Linked DNA regions of Canis lupus familiaris. The main gene of each other region encodes a partner of the protein of the gene in region 3 in a complex. Links are inferred from orthologs where the notes say so. Each region holds a gene or a part of one and is shown on either strand. Other genes may lie near its edges.

What was found. The genes of interacting proteins can lie anywhere in the genome.
Region 1: the proteins of ORMDL3 (region 3) and SPTLC2 are in contact, whole or in part, in a cryo-EM structure (PDB 7K0O), measured with the Homo sapiens proteins. The link is inferred for Canis lupus familiaris from reciprocal best matches to the Homo sapiens genes ORMDL3 and SPTLC2. Residues at the interface, in NP_001307730.1 of Homo sapiens: Met1, Asn2, Val3, Gly4, Thr5, Ala6, His7, Ser8, Pro12, Val16, Ser19, Arg20, Gly21, Ile22, Leu24, Ser25, Leu28, Phe63, Val67, Lys68, Gly69, Thr70, Pro71, Phe72, Glu73, Pro75, Gln77, Arg81; in NP_004854.1 of Homo sapiens: Glu65, Thr66, Pro67, Met68, Ala71, Val72, Tyr75, Tyr86, Gln116, Phe118, Glu119, Asn120, Phe121, Tyr122, Tyr127, Trp134, Asp259, Glu260, Leu261, Asn262, Val267, Arg271, Ile279, Met320, Val495, Val496, Gly497, Phe498, Pro499, Ala500.
Region 2: the proteins of ORMDL3 (region 3) and SPTLC1 are in contact, whole or in part, in a cryo-EM structure (PDB 7K0N), measured with the Homo sapiens proteins. The link is inferred for Canis lupus familiaris from reciprocal best matches to the Homo sapiens genes ORMDL3 and SPTLC1. Residues at the interface, in NP_001307730.1 of Homo sapiens: Gly92, Val93, Gln94, Phe95, Thr96, Ala97, Lys100, Thr103, Ile104, Ile107, Tyr110, Phe111, Ser114, Tyr119, Gln121, Phe124, Thr128, Leu131, Met132, Leu139, Pro140, His143; in NP_006406.1 of Homo sapiens: Ala16, Leu17, Ala20, Pro21, Tyr23, His24, Leu27, Glu28, Leu31, Ile32, Trp34, Ile35, Leu38, Leu39, Ser41, Lys42, Thr43, Tyr44, Lys45, Leu46, Gln47.

Annotation. Positions count from the first base shown.
Region 1 is NC_049229.1:50,716,480-50,720,878, forward strand, and holds the start of SPTLC2 (serine palmitoyltransferase 2), read right to left. Parts: upstream 2,872-4,399; 5' UTR 2,821-2,871; coding exon 2,703-2,820; coding exon of another isoform or gene 2,698-2,702; intron 2,195-2,697; coding exon 2,183-2,194; intron 1-2,182. UniProt on the Homo sapiens protein: Component of the serine palmitoyltransferase multisubunit enzyme (SPT) that catalyzes the initial and rate-limiting step in sphingolipid biosynthesis by condensing L-serine and activated acyl-CoA (most commonly palmitoyl-CoA) to form long-chain bases.
Region 2 is NC_049222.1:95,708,921-95,713,337, reverse strand, and holds the start of SPTLC1 (serine palmitoyltransferase 1), read right to left. Parts: upstream 2,872-4,417; 5' UTR 2,792-2,871; coding exon 2,735-2,791; intron 128-2,734; coding exon 20-127; intron 1-19. UniProt on the Homo sapiens protein: Component of the serine palmitoyltransferase multisubunit enzyme (SPT) that catalyzes the initial and rate-limiting step in sphingolipid biosynthesis by condensing L-serine and activated acyl-CoA (most commonly palmitoyl-CoA) to form long-chain bases.
Region 3 is NC_049230.1:22,542,372-22,546,904, reverse strand, and holds the start of ORMDL3 (ORM1-like protein 3), read right to left. Parts: upstream 2,862-4,533; 5' UTR 2,709-2,861; intron 2,405-2,708; exon of another isoform or gene 2,168-2,404; intron 1-2,167. UniProt on the Homo sapiens protein: Plays an essential role in the homeostatic regulation of sphingolipid de novo biosynthesis by modulating the activity of the serine palmitoyltransferase (SPT) in response to ceramide levels.

The sequences.
Region 1 (4,399 bases), on a different chromosome or scaffold from region 3:
CAGTAAGAAAAAAGTAGAGGATAAACGAGAAAATAAAAACAAACAGCAACGTTTAATTGTTTTATATGCCCTTTCTACTACAGGATCTATGTACTCAAACTCTGACCAAAATCCAACAAAGGGAAAGCATATACATTCATTCCTTCAAACACAGAAACTCTTGAGAGTGTAAAGGAATCCCAGAAATTTCTAACTTCTCTCCTGTTCATTCAAAGACAAGAATGCTGGGATACGTAAGGAAATGAATGTGTATCTCGGGTTTAAAAACTCTGAATTTATACTTTCATAATTAAAAGATGACACACACTTGCACACTTAACATCTTACATGTATTTTTATGGCATAATTGGCAACATTTCCCCCAGAAAGTGGGGGAAAATAAATAGGGGGTTGGTGCACTAACATACCACTTTAATTAAAATAAAAACAACTTATATTATTTTAAAGATATTCTTGTTCTCATGAAGTTACCAAAAACCTCTCCTTTGCTTAAGGAAAAAAAAAAAAAAAAACCCTAATAGACAATATTCCTCATATTCATGTACAAAGCTATATCCCTAAAGTCTTTGATTTAAAAAGACTAGTGACAAAGAGTTTTCTTTCAGGTGTTTCCACTAAACCAGTCTTCCAGATGCCACCATAGTGTCTTGAGTGGAATTTTTCACTAAAATACACTAGAAAAAGTCAGCCAGAAGTTAGAGTCATACAGATTTTAAATTTCACTTTAGCAACCTGATATGTCTTCATCTTATTAACAGTCCGCAATCTCTGAAGAAATATCATGTCTACAAATGCTAGATTGTTAGAGATTATGGGAGGAATTCACTATTAAATCAGACTATAACTCCTACGTTAAGTGAAAAGCACACCAAAACACAAAACACCTCTGAAGTGTGAGCACCTTTCTCTTGACTTCCTTTTCCCTCTTAAAAATCATAATCCACTCATTCATCTGCAACGTATTTTCTGACTCCCACCTGCTAAGTTTCCCTGTTACATTCTCTACCACAGCAATTTTTGTTGCTAAAAAAAAAAAAAAAAAAAAAAAAAAAAAAAGCCTTACACGGTCAATAATGAGGGTGTTCTTATCACTTCCTCCCTCACTCAATTATTCCTTTAAAAATGAAAATAGGGATGCCTGGGTGGCTCAGTGGTTGAGCATCTGCCTTTGGCTCAGGGCGTGATCCCAGGGTCTTGGGACTGAGTCCCACGTCGGGCTTCATGCATGGAGCCTGCTTCTCCCTCTGCCTATGTCTCCGCCTCTCTCTCTGTGTCTTTCATGAATAAATGAATAAAATCTTTTTTTAAAAAATGAAAATAAATCTTTGGAATCTGTGCATTACAGTGCTTCCAACTTCAGGGGGAGGTCAAGTCTCTTTTATGTGTTTTCCCTCCAACTCTCACAGTCTTACTATGTCAACATGACCTGGAGGAGTTCTTTATTTTCTGTTCCACACCAAACAGTAACAGGCCCATCTATCCCATCTACTTGACTGGGGGGGGTGGGGGGAGGCTGCTAGATATTTACATTAAAGCCAATTTAAATCACAATAGTCACACTACTGCTCTTGGGAAAAGAGGACTTTGGGGCAAGAAAATGTTTGCCTTAATATCTAAATGGGGGCAGCCCAGATGCCGCCTTCAGCCCAGGGCATGATCCTAGAGACCCGGGATCAAGTCCCACGTCGGGCTCCCTGCATGGAGCCTGCTTCTCCCTCTGCCTGTGTCTCTATCTCTCTATCTCTCATGAATAGATAAATTAAAAAATTTTGAAAAATATATCTAAATGGGATTTATAAGTATTAAAGTCAACTGAAATCTCACAACACTCTTCCATCAACACTGATTGTTTTTTTTTTTTAAGCGGCTCATTTTTAAAAGACGCATTTCAGGAGAATCTGTCAATCCAGAGAATTGGAAGGCTGTTACTGATTACAGTCTTCAATTCAAAACTCCCCCCCCCCAAAAAAAATTTTTTTTTCTTTCCCCCCCGAACTCTGGACTTGGCTGCTGATTCAGGCTTGGTTCACCGGAATGGAGACTCATCACAAGCCCCCACCCGGGGTCAGCAAGCCGCTGGTGTGACGGCACTCCTGCCCACGGGGACCACGGGGACCGCGGGGACCACCGACCCCGACCTAGAGCCCGGGGCCGAGGAAGCGCGTAAGGCTCGAGAGGCACCGGCCGGGGGCGGGGGGGGGTCATGCCCGATCTGTGGTCCCACGCCTCACTTGCAGGAGGGCTGGGCATCCTGGAGAAGGAGCCTGGCACCACCTCCTAACTTTCTCTGCCTCCTGGTTTTCCGCGGAGAGTCTCAGGGCTCTGCAAGGAAGCCAGCCCCTCGAGGACGCGAGGAGGGAGCCTCGAGACGAAGAACCAAGCCCCCCAGGGGGCCCTCCCGGGGCCCGCGGGGTCAGCCCGTACCTCTGGCCAGCGCAGGAGCAGCAAGGCACTGGGGCTCGGAGCAGAGGAAAGTGGGGAGACCGCAGGCGCGGAGACACGCGGGAGCCCCTCCGCCGCCCTCGAGCCCTCGCTCGGGCCAGGCCCGGTCCGCGCCAGGACGCCGCCGCCCGCACACCTGAGCCCGCCCCCGCGACCTCGCCCCGCCGGGCCGCCCCCCGCGGCTCCGCACGGGCGCGGCTCGCGGGGCCCCGGCCCCCACCTCCGGCTCAGCCCGGCCGCCCGCTCCCACCATACCTGGCCGGCGGCGGCGGCGGCGGCGCTGCTCCTCACATACCCGTTCCGCACCTCCCCGTTCGCCACACAGCCGTTCGCCCGCAGCGGGCGACGGCAGCAGCAGCCTCCGGGCCCCGGCCGCATCGTCCCGGCAGCACCAGGCGCGAGGCAGGCTCTGTAGGCGGCGGCCCAGGCGGCGGCGGCCCCAGCCCCGCTCCGCACCCCACCCACCTCCCCGAAACCGGAAATGGCTGCACGCCGCCGCCAATTACCCGCCCGGCCGTCACGGGGGGCGGGGCCGGGCCCGCGGAGGGGCGGGGCCGGGCAGGACTGCTGGCCAATCTGCGGGAGGAGGGGGCGGTCCCGTGCTGCTGTCTGGCCAATCACGGGCGGCGGCAAGGCGGCTCGCCGGTGTCGAGGAGGGGGCGGGGCTGGCGGCTTCTCGGTCCACGCAGAGGAGGCGGGGCCCAGGGAGCACTGGGCCAATTAGACTGGAGGAGAGGAACGGGGCTGAGCCCGAGCGTCCAGAGCGGGTCCCGGGCTCTCCCGGGCTCTCCCGGACAGGTGGCGCCCTCTCTGCCCTTGCCCCCGGGGAAGTTCTGGGGTATGAATCCCCAGCGGAGACAAAGCTCCTTTATTTAATTAGCTAATTCCTCTGTGGGTGTCTGTAGAATAGCATTTTTAGCATTCTCTCACTGTTCTTCAGCAAGCACCTTACAGCAACACATTTCTTAGTAAGTCGGAAGTCTCTTTGCCCTTCACATCTGCCCCTAATCGGGGTTTTCTGTACGACTTCCTTTAAAGAGTACTTCCGTAAGAGTCAGGAAACCTGAATATTTAGCTGCTTTTGGAGCCAAAGTCTTTTTTTTTTTTTTCTTCTTTAAGATTTTATTTATTTATTCATGAGAAACACACAGAGAGAGGGAGGGACATAGGCAGAGGGAGAAGCAGGCTCCATGCAGGGAGCCTGATGCAGGACTCGACCCCAGGACCCCAGGGTCACGACCTGAGCCAAAGGCAGATAGATGCTCAACCACTGAGCCACCCAGGTGCCCATAAATTCTTTAAAATAGAATTAACACTTCCTGTTTCACAGGCTCATTGCAAGAAATATGTTAATAAAACATTGTGCACCTGTCATACTGCCTGGGCCATTGTAGGAGCATAATAAATATCATTTTTGCACCCCTTGAGTTCTCTCTTCCCACAGGGGTTAGTAAGGAAGTGGATCTACATCATAACAAGAGACTTTTCGGTTACCCATAAAGAATTTGGTGTCATAGTAAAGAATATTGACTCTGGAAGTGGTCTGGGTTTGAATCCTGACTGTGTGACTTACTAGCTGCATGACTGCTATGTATTTTCATCTGTCCAGTGGAAGTAATAATAGTTGTCCTGAGGATTTCAGTTAATACATGTAGTATGTTTTGTATAAGACCTTGACATTAGTAAAAAAAATTATTAAGTGTTGGTTATTTTTTAATTAATTAATTTATTTATTTAGGGGGAGCAGAGAAGGGGTAGAGAGAATCCTCGAGCTGACTCCCTGCTGAGTCCCAACGTGGGGCTCAATCTCAGGCCCTTGAGATCATGACCCGAGCCTAAATCAAAAGTCAGATGCTTAAGAGTGAGCCACCCAGGCACCTCAAGTGTTGGTTATTTTTTAATTGCTGAATAGGCCTATGAGAGCCCCTGCATTCTTCCCCCTACCCCATCTTTAGCA
Region 2 (4,417 bases), on a different chromosome or scaffold from region 3:
AAGAGATTTAGTTTCTTACCTTGACTGTAAGATCAGATCGTTCTTGTAATTTGTAAGTTTTAGAGAACAGGAGTCTAATTATCCAGAGAATCAGAATTCCTTCCAAAATAAGATGGTAAGCAGGAGCCTAAGAATGAGTCAAAAACCAAAAAAAGAAACAAAATAAACACTTCCAAAATCTGCACATAAAATGTAATGCACCTGTATATACTGTCTTCCATGACCTTTAACCTATTACTTCTTAAGATTAAAACTTAATCTTTAAGACTCTTTTCATTTCTACTCACTCCTTTCCCCATTTCTAACAGTTGGCAATTTCTCCTTCACATGGAAAATCTTTAATAGTAAATCTTTAACACCTCTATATGAAAGAAATTTAATTCTCAAAATAAAATCTGATGCAGAATCCCAACATGAGGAACAATGTCAACTATCAGATCCTTCAGATAATGTACATTTCTACTGGTAGGAAAGAACAGTAACCAACATTTCACAGCTCCACCAGCCTTCTAGCACCCCAATACACCATGGATGAGTTAGGAGTTATCAGAAAATCAGTTTCCACAATTCTTGGAGTTTTGCACATTTTACTATATTTTCCGAATCCCCGATAAGCCTCTTTAAAACCTTCTTGGATCCTGGATGAGAAAAAAAAAAAGCTTTATAAATGCCAAAAGGAATGGCAGGTCTTTTTCCTATAGCAGTTCCCCAAAAGTAGGCAGTTGCAGTGTGTTCCATGTCAACAGGCCTAAAGACACCTTACTAAAATTATCCATGCCAAGTCTTCTTTTCAACTGTGCATTTCCCAGATAAAGGCCGGGCTTTTATGTTTTGCACAACTAGACACTCTAGGTGTGTGTGGAAGATTCCGACCTTTGTAACTGACTAAACCACAGTTATAAAGTGATCCACTCCAACAGGCTGGCACTGGAAAGTCATTTAAAAGAGGTGTTTAGAACATAATTACAGATCATTTTCAAACACTAGACAAAAAGAAAGTGAAGATGATTCCTCATAGTTTAAAAAAACCTAGAATGTGGACAGAAGGAAAGCAGACAAATTCGAATGTAGGTAAATATCTAAGTCAATACACAAATAGTTTTCTAACTACATACATGTCACATACACACACTATTATTTCTCTTTTGGGTACAAGACCCCTCAAACTCTACACACTAACTATATCAAAACTGGAAACAAGAATGGAAATCTCGGGGATCTCTGGATGGCTCAGTGGTTTAGCGCCTGCCTTTGGCCCAGGCTGTGATCCTGGAGTCTGGGGATCGAGTCTCTCATCAGGCTCCCTGCATGGGGCCTGCTTCTCCCTCTGCCTCTCTCTCTGTGTGTCTCTCATGAATAAATAAACAATATCTTAAAAAAAAAAAAAAAAAAAAAGACTGGAAATCTCTCTTTAAGATGATTTTTAAACATACTGATCCCCCTTGAATACAATTCATTTAAGAATAAGGACTGTGGTCTAAGCATTCTTTCGGTTTTCTCAACAATTGCACTCTAATAGGCAAGCATCTGCCCAAGTCTCTAAGCATCTCGCTCCACAAAGAAATCATCCTAAGAAAAACTGAGATACTGTCTAGTGAATTAAATCAAAATCACAAACGCAGCTTCTTTCCCTGGGAATGTCACATCCAAGAGAACACCTCACTCTTGGTCAGTTAGGTAGCCTTCAAAAAGGAAACAACACAGAAAATTGGTCATTAAAAAAACAAGCAAACAAAAAAAACCCTTCAATTTCAGAGGCTCTTATCTCAGTTACCATAATTAGGTTAAGGTGGGCCATCACTCACACCACATCTGTTGTCAATTCTTTTTTCAGGAAGTCCTGATAAGTCTCGCAGTGGAAGACACCAGGGTCTCCCCTCGCCAGTAAGCAGCTATGTTCAGGTTTTACAGAATTATCAGAAGAAAATCTGAGGCTCGCTTTCAATGAAGAGGGGCTCTGTAATATAGCGCAGGAGTTTTTGCCCTGTTTGATCAGTGCACTAGCCCCCGCCTCTAGATCCGTAGCCACCCGTCACCACCTAACTGTGTAAAAATATACATCTAAACGAAATCAAATGAAAAATGTAGTCCCTCCGCTTGCACTGGACGCATTTCAAGGGCCAGCAGCCACATGTGGGTAGTGGCTACTACACTGAACGGCTCCTGCACCGGGTAGCGCGGCTCAGCCAGCCTTTCAAAAAACCCTTAATTATCCGGAATAGCCTTTAAAAAAAAAAAAAAAATCTCTAAAAAATTGTTGTTTCTTTACAGGACAGAAAAGGGGGCGCAAGTGGAAGAATGGGAAACGATTTCGTATTCCCAGTTCCTGAATCGTTCGGCTTTCGTGACCCCTCGCCCCGACAGAACCGAACTCCAGTGTACAGCGCTGTCCCCTGTCCCCCGCCCCGCAGCCCCCACGGCCTTCCCGGCTGCGATCCTCCGCTCTATTTTCTCCACCCCCACAGGTTTTCAAGCCCAGCCTCGCTCCCGGCCCCCTCCCACCTGCTCCTCTCCTGAGCGCCCCTCACCCCCCGCCCCCCTCCGCGAGCCCAAGGCGCCCCTGGGTCCCCGCTCCCGCCGGTGCCTCCCCCGCGAGGCCCTCCGGCCAGAGGAGCCGAGGGTCAGGGCGTGACCCGGCCAACCCCGCGTGGGCCGCAGACCGCCAGTCCGCCAGAGCCGCCCCACGCCTGCGGGGCTGGGTATGGTCGTGGGCCGCTCGGGCCGCCAAGCTCACCTCGTAAAGCGCCTGGACCATCTCCACCAGCACCCACTGCTCCGCGGCGGTCGCCATAGTCAGCCTCTGGCGCTTCCTTCCGGAAGGCGGGTCGCGGGCACGTCAAACAGCGCGCGGCGCAGCCCAGTGACGCAGCAGCGCTTGGGGGCGGGGCTGGAGAGACTGGGCCCCGCCCCTCGGCGCTTGCGCGCTGGAGGAACGCGGGACCCGAGGCTTCAGAGGCGTGGGGCTCACCTGGCGGCCGGGAGGGATGCGAGCCCGGAGGGGCTCCTCCGGCAGGTGTTGTGCCAGGACCCGTGCTGGGCCCTCGGGATGGAGGCATTAATAATAAATGGCCCCTGCCCTGGGCGGGGAGTGTTCTGTAATCAAAGATGTGCTCTTTACTTTTAAATGACAGAGGAACCCAGGAATGCATTATCATAAAAAATACAGAAATTATTATATATCATATATATAATAAACATATGTAACCTCTTATAGAGCACTTAGGGTGTGTCCTGCATAGACCAATGCTTGGAGAGAATTAAGCCATGCAGTACTTTGGTGTGGAACCTTCTAGAACCTTCTTTGGCACATGCAAATGTGGTGTGCACACACTTATTTACTTGGCTTGGATGTCTTAAATCTAACTGGGACCCTAGGGATAATAGTGATATACAATTTGCTTTTTTTTTCTATTTATTTTTTTTCTTGGGGTGTTTTTCCCATTCATCCATAAATCTTGCATTTTTCGTCTTAAAGAAGACTACGTCTTGTTATAAATACATATTTCTTGTTCCATTTTACTTACATATTTTCCTGTTAGTGGACACTTAGGTTGTTTTCTACTTCTGCCTCTGTTAGCAATAATGCAGCAGGAAGCATCTATGTGCATGTATCTTCCTGTTCATGTGGGAATATTTTTTTAATGCAATTAGCCAACATGTAGAACATGGTCAGCTTTAGATTAGAGTTAGTGATTCATCAGTTGCATGTAGCACTCAGTGCTCATCCCGTTACATGCCCTCCTTAATGCCCATCACCCAGTTACCCCAACTCCCCACCTCCTCCCCTTCAGCAACCCTCAATCTGTTTCCTGTAGTTAAGAGTCTCTCATGGTTTGTCTCCCTCTCCGATTTTTTCCCATTCAGTTTTCTCTCCCTTCCCTATGATCTTCTGCACTGTTTCTTATATGCCTCATATGAGTGAAACCATATCATAATTGTCTTTCTCTGATTGACTTACTTCACTCAGCATAATACCCTCCAGTTCCATCCATGTCGATGTAAATGCTGGGTATTCATCCTTTCTGCTGGCTGAGTCATATTCCATTGTATATATAGACCACTGCTTCTTTATCTATTCATCTGTCAATGGACATCTCAACTCTTTTCATAGTTTGGCTCTTGTGGACATTGCTGCTGTGAAAACTGGAGTGCAGGTGCCCCTTTGGACACTACATTTGTGTCTTTGGAGTAAATACCCAGTAGTGCAATCGCTGGGTCTTAGGGTAGCTCTATTTTTAGCTGCTTCAGGAACCTCCACACTGTTTTCCAGAGTGGCTGCACCAGCTTGCATTCACGTGGGAGCATTTCTGAAGATCATTCTCAAAGTGGAGTTTTGGCCACAGAGTATGCACAGTGTTAACTTTGGTAAATACTACCATAGTGTTCTCCAGAATGGCTCAAACACTTTAAAATGTTT
Region 3 (4,533 bases):
AACAGAGTGGAAAGAGGGAGGGAAGGAAGAAAAGAGAAGACAAGAGACGAGGGACAACCTCTGCCCAGACTTGGAGGCCTCTTTCTTGGTGACACAAAGCAACCCATGCGAGATGTTTTATGCATCTGGCAGCCGCTCAGGCTAACCCTTGTGATGCCATCCACTCTGCTGCCAAACCACCAGGGCCCTTTTCCCCACCATAGGAGGGGCGAGGATGGAGAACATCTACAGCTCCAAGTTGCTGAAACCCACACCAACACCCACCTCCCAAGGACACAAAAACCCTACCTGCCTCCTGCCCCCATTCCTCTCTGCCCAGCCCAGCCTCACCCCTCAGCCTCTTTTCCCAGCACCTGCTTTCCTTGCCCAAGCTCCAATGCCAGAGGCCTGCAGCAGGAGGAACCAGGAGGGCTGCCCTGGATGCCCCAGAAACAATGCAATCCAGATGCATTCCTGGATGCACATAAGGAGGGGAATGAGTAGCCCCTTGTCTGGAGCTCAGCTGTCCCCAGATCCCTAAGGGCCCTGTAACCAGCAGGAGGTGGGAACGGACTGTACCTTTATACTGGCTCACCTCCCTAGGTGAGGAAAGGTCCTCCCCAATAAAGGCCCTAAGGTCATCACCATGGTAACAACCCCATCTTGGGGGGGGGTGTGCAGAAACGGGTCCTGGGTGCAGGTAACCAGAAAGTGCCCAGAAGGCCACCTCCTTCACCCTGCTGCAACAAACCCCCTCAGATTCAGATGCTATCTATCTCTGGCTAGGATCACAGCCAAGTCTGTGTGGGAGCCAGGATTCTCAAGGATCGGTTCCTTACTTCCAGAATAATGAGAACAAGTTTCCTCTTCTCAGAGAGCTCCAAGCTAAGAGACCTCATGGGAAATGTGACCCACAACACACCTTCCCAACATGCAAACATGTTTGAGATGGCCCAGAGTGCATCCTAGAGGTAATTCTCCTGGGACCCATCAGCTCAGCCCATTAGGCTGGATAATTGGGCCTAACAGAAACCCAAGGAACTAGAAAACCGAGACTGGCTCAGTTGTTTACCTTTCCAGGGCCCTGGAGCTTCAGTTACCCTAACACAGCTTCTGGGATGGGTACACACAAAAGCCTGGGGCAGTGGGGAGCTGGCTAGGGAAGTGAGGTCTTTAAGGAGAGAGGCAGAGTTCCCGAAGTCTAACCAGAAACTGCTATCCCTCCCCACTTCTCCTAGACCTACAAAGGTACAGGATTACAAAGATCTGTAGCTGTGTCTCATATTTTGTCCAGCAGTACCAAGGGCTTTGGTGAATCTCAGATCATCCCACACTCCTGTCTTGCTGAAACAGAGCATCTAATGAAGACTGATGAGTCTCAGAAGAACCTAGACCTAGGACCTAACTGATACCCTCAGAAGCATCTTCCTAAAGACTGAACACTAGCTGCCCTGACAGCAGAAATCTCAGAAGACACCCCTCACCCCCGCAAAAAAAAAAAAAAAAAAAAAAAACACAGAAGAAATCCAGAAACTAAGAAAATGACTGGCAGCCAAAAAGACAAGAAATCAAGAAACTACGAAAACAACTGGCACCCAAGGAGCACTCTCCTAGAAGTTTGCATGACTAAGGGTACATACCACTTCCACTAGTGGAAAAAAAAAAAATTGCATACCCCACCCCTCCACTGTGAAGGGAAGAAACAGGGAAAACCTGGCAGAGGTAAAGTAAGTCTACAGCAGCTGAGGCTGAAAAGTTGTTGCCCCAGCTGGCAGGTGGCTGCATGGCAGTGCCTGATGTGGTTTCATAACCTGTCTTGAACCAAAGCCTGCAGCAACTCTGTTCTGTTAACTACTTTCTTGCTGGTAGCTCTTCTCTACTCTTTTTTCCCTCCACCCTGGCTCCACACACCAATATCCCTGCCCGCCTGTCAGTCTGGCACCTAAGCCCAGGCCATAGTGTGCCCCAGGACAGCTGCCAGGTGAGCGCTTCCCATTCTTTCCCCCAAGTAAGGGAAGCCCTTTAATTAGCAAACCTTTTTTTTTTTTTTTTTTTTTTTGTCTTCTCGAAGAGAAGCACAAAAACATCCGAGCCCACAACCTGGACCCCACGGGCAGTGCCTGGCAGCACTCCACGATGCCATTTTCATTCTGCCCACCGCCCAACCCGCAGGGCCACAGTCACTCACCTCGTAGCTCTGTCTGGCCCTGCCTCCCGGACTCGCGAGGGCAGTGGAATGGAAAGACGACGAGTACCGGGGCGAACCTCCACTAGCCGGGGAGGAGGGTGAAACGAGGTGGAGCCTACGCTATTGTTGGGATTTTCGGAGCGGGACCTCAAGCCGTAGAGGGGCCTCCCGCTTCGCTCCCCAGCCTGAGACCTCGCACTCGGAGCCCAGCCCGGCCCGGTCCGAAGCCCCACCCCCACGTCCACGCGTTCACCCAACCCCGGAGGCGGCCAAACCTTTATCCCCGAAGCCCGGGCTCTCCCCGCCCCCTCCCCCGGCCCGAGCACTCCTCGCGACACCCCAGACTCGGTCTCCCGTCCCTCCCTCCCCCCGTGGGCATCCCTTCGGCTGATGCACCCCCTCCCACCTCCGCTCCCCCTTCCCAGGTCCGCTCCAGCCCGGGGCGCTTCCTCAGCAGCCCCCACCTTCTATCCCGCCCCGCCTCTAGCCCCGAGAGGAGGGTCCCGGTTGGTCCACCCCGAAGCCGCTCGCCCGTACTCACAGTACAGGGCCGGCGGTCGAGGGCCCAGGAGGGGTGCCCGGGGGCGGGGGCCGCTGCTGCTCCAGCAGCTGTAACAACCCGCGGCGGCAGCCACCCCGCTGGCAGCTCCGGCCGAATCAGCGCCCCGCGCCGGCCCCCGAGACGTCACCGCTCGGCGCCTGCCCGCCCGGTGCCTCCTGGGAATTGTAGTTTATCCCTTTGCCCGCGTACGGGCCCGCCCGGTGCTTCCTGGGAGTTGTCGTTTTCTCCGCGTATTGCAGTCTCGGCCTCGCTGGGGCTGCAGGGCCAGAAGACTCAACAGCCTGCGAAACTCACATCGGATGATACTGCTTTGGCGTGTATCGATTCTGCTTTTGCGTATGCGCGCTTCAGGTTCTGCAGTTTACTCTTGCCTGGTTTTGAGACCAGGAAATTCAGAGTTTTAAGTGACTTACCATAGGTCCCATGGGTCCCAGCATAGACCAGAACCCAGAGATTCTGACCCCACTTTTTTTTTCACTACGCCTCTCCGGCTCCGCCCTGGCCATATATTGGCTCCACAAGAAACAGACTAGCCGGGCCCATCGCCCTGCCAAGCCCTCCTGGAAGCTGGCTTGTGACGACGTTGGCTACAAGCAGCGTCTGGAGGGCAAAGAATGCAGCCTGTCCGGACAAATGCTGCACAGCATTTGTCCAGAGCCTGACTGCTTTTCAGCTAACTTGAGCCACGCTGGTCTGAGCCAGGCCGCATCCTTGGCCTCCCCACATTAGAAGTCGAAGAGGCCACGTGTCCCGGGAAGACTCCATGATGAATAGTTCGGAGCCTGAATTCTAGTCCCAGGTCAGCTTGTGTGGCTTTGGAGACTCCACCTCTCTGGGCCACAGTTTTCTCTGCTGCATGTCCCAAAGACAAGGGCACAGATTTTATTGCCGGGCCAATTTAACACAGGCACTCCTTTACCAGCAGTGTGACCCCGAACAAAGAAATCTTTTTTTTTTTTTTTTTTTTTTTAGATTTTATTTATTTATTCGTGAGAGACACACACACAGAGAGAGAGAGAGGCAGAGACACAGGCAGAGACACAGGCAGAGAGAGAAAAGCAGGCTCCATGCAGGGAGCCCAACGTGGTACTCGATCCCAAGACTCCAGGGCAACGCCCTGGGCGGAAGGCAGGCACTAAACTGCCGACCCATCCAGGGATCCCCCCCAAATAACTCGTCTTAATCTCCAATGCCACACCTATGAAACCCTACCTCCAAGGTTGTGCGAATTCAAAAGTATGTAGGTAAAGCACCTGTTGTAGGAAGTTATTCTGTAGGAGGTTGAACTAAATGACCTTGAGGTCTCCTGATCAGTCCCACTCTATATCACCAAAAAGGTCTTGTTTGAGTGATTTTCACTGCCCCCACCCAGCTTCTAAGTCCACTCTGAATGGCAGGGCTGGAATAGCAGGATCAGATGACGTCATGACATGCCAACTTGACCGGCTGTAAACACACCCTGAGCCAATGTGAGAAGACATAAAGGAAAATGCTGGCCCAGGGAAACTGGGGAGCACTTCTCTGAGACCTCACCTAACCTTCTCTAGGGGACTGCCGGGAAACAGTCAAAGCTAAGCTGGAGGGGGCCCCCAGAGGCATCTGGTGGGAAGCAAGTGGCTATCTGAACCACTCAGAGAAAGAGAACAGGAAACTTCTCCGATATTTCCAGGGCCAATGGCCAAAGAGCGCTCATCCCAAGACCTAAATAAACAGCCCAGAGTCTGAAAAAGTTCTACCTTATACAAAAATTTCTCCTGCGTCATGGGAGCCCCCTTTTTTTGGAGTCAGCCTTCTGAAGACATAA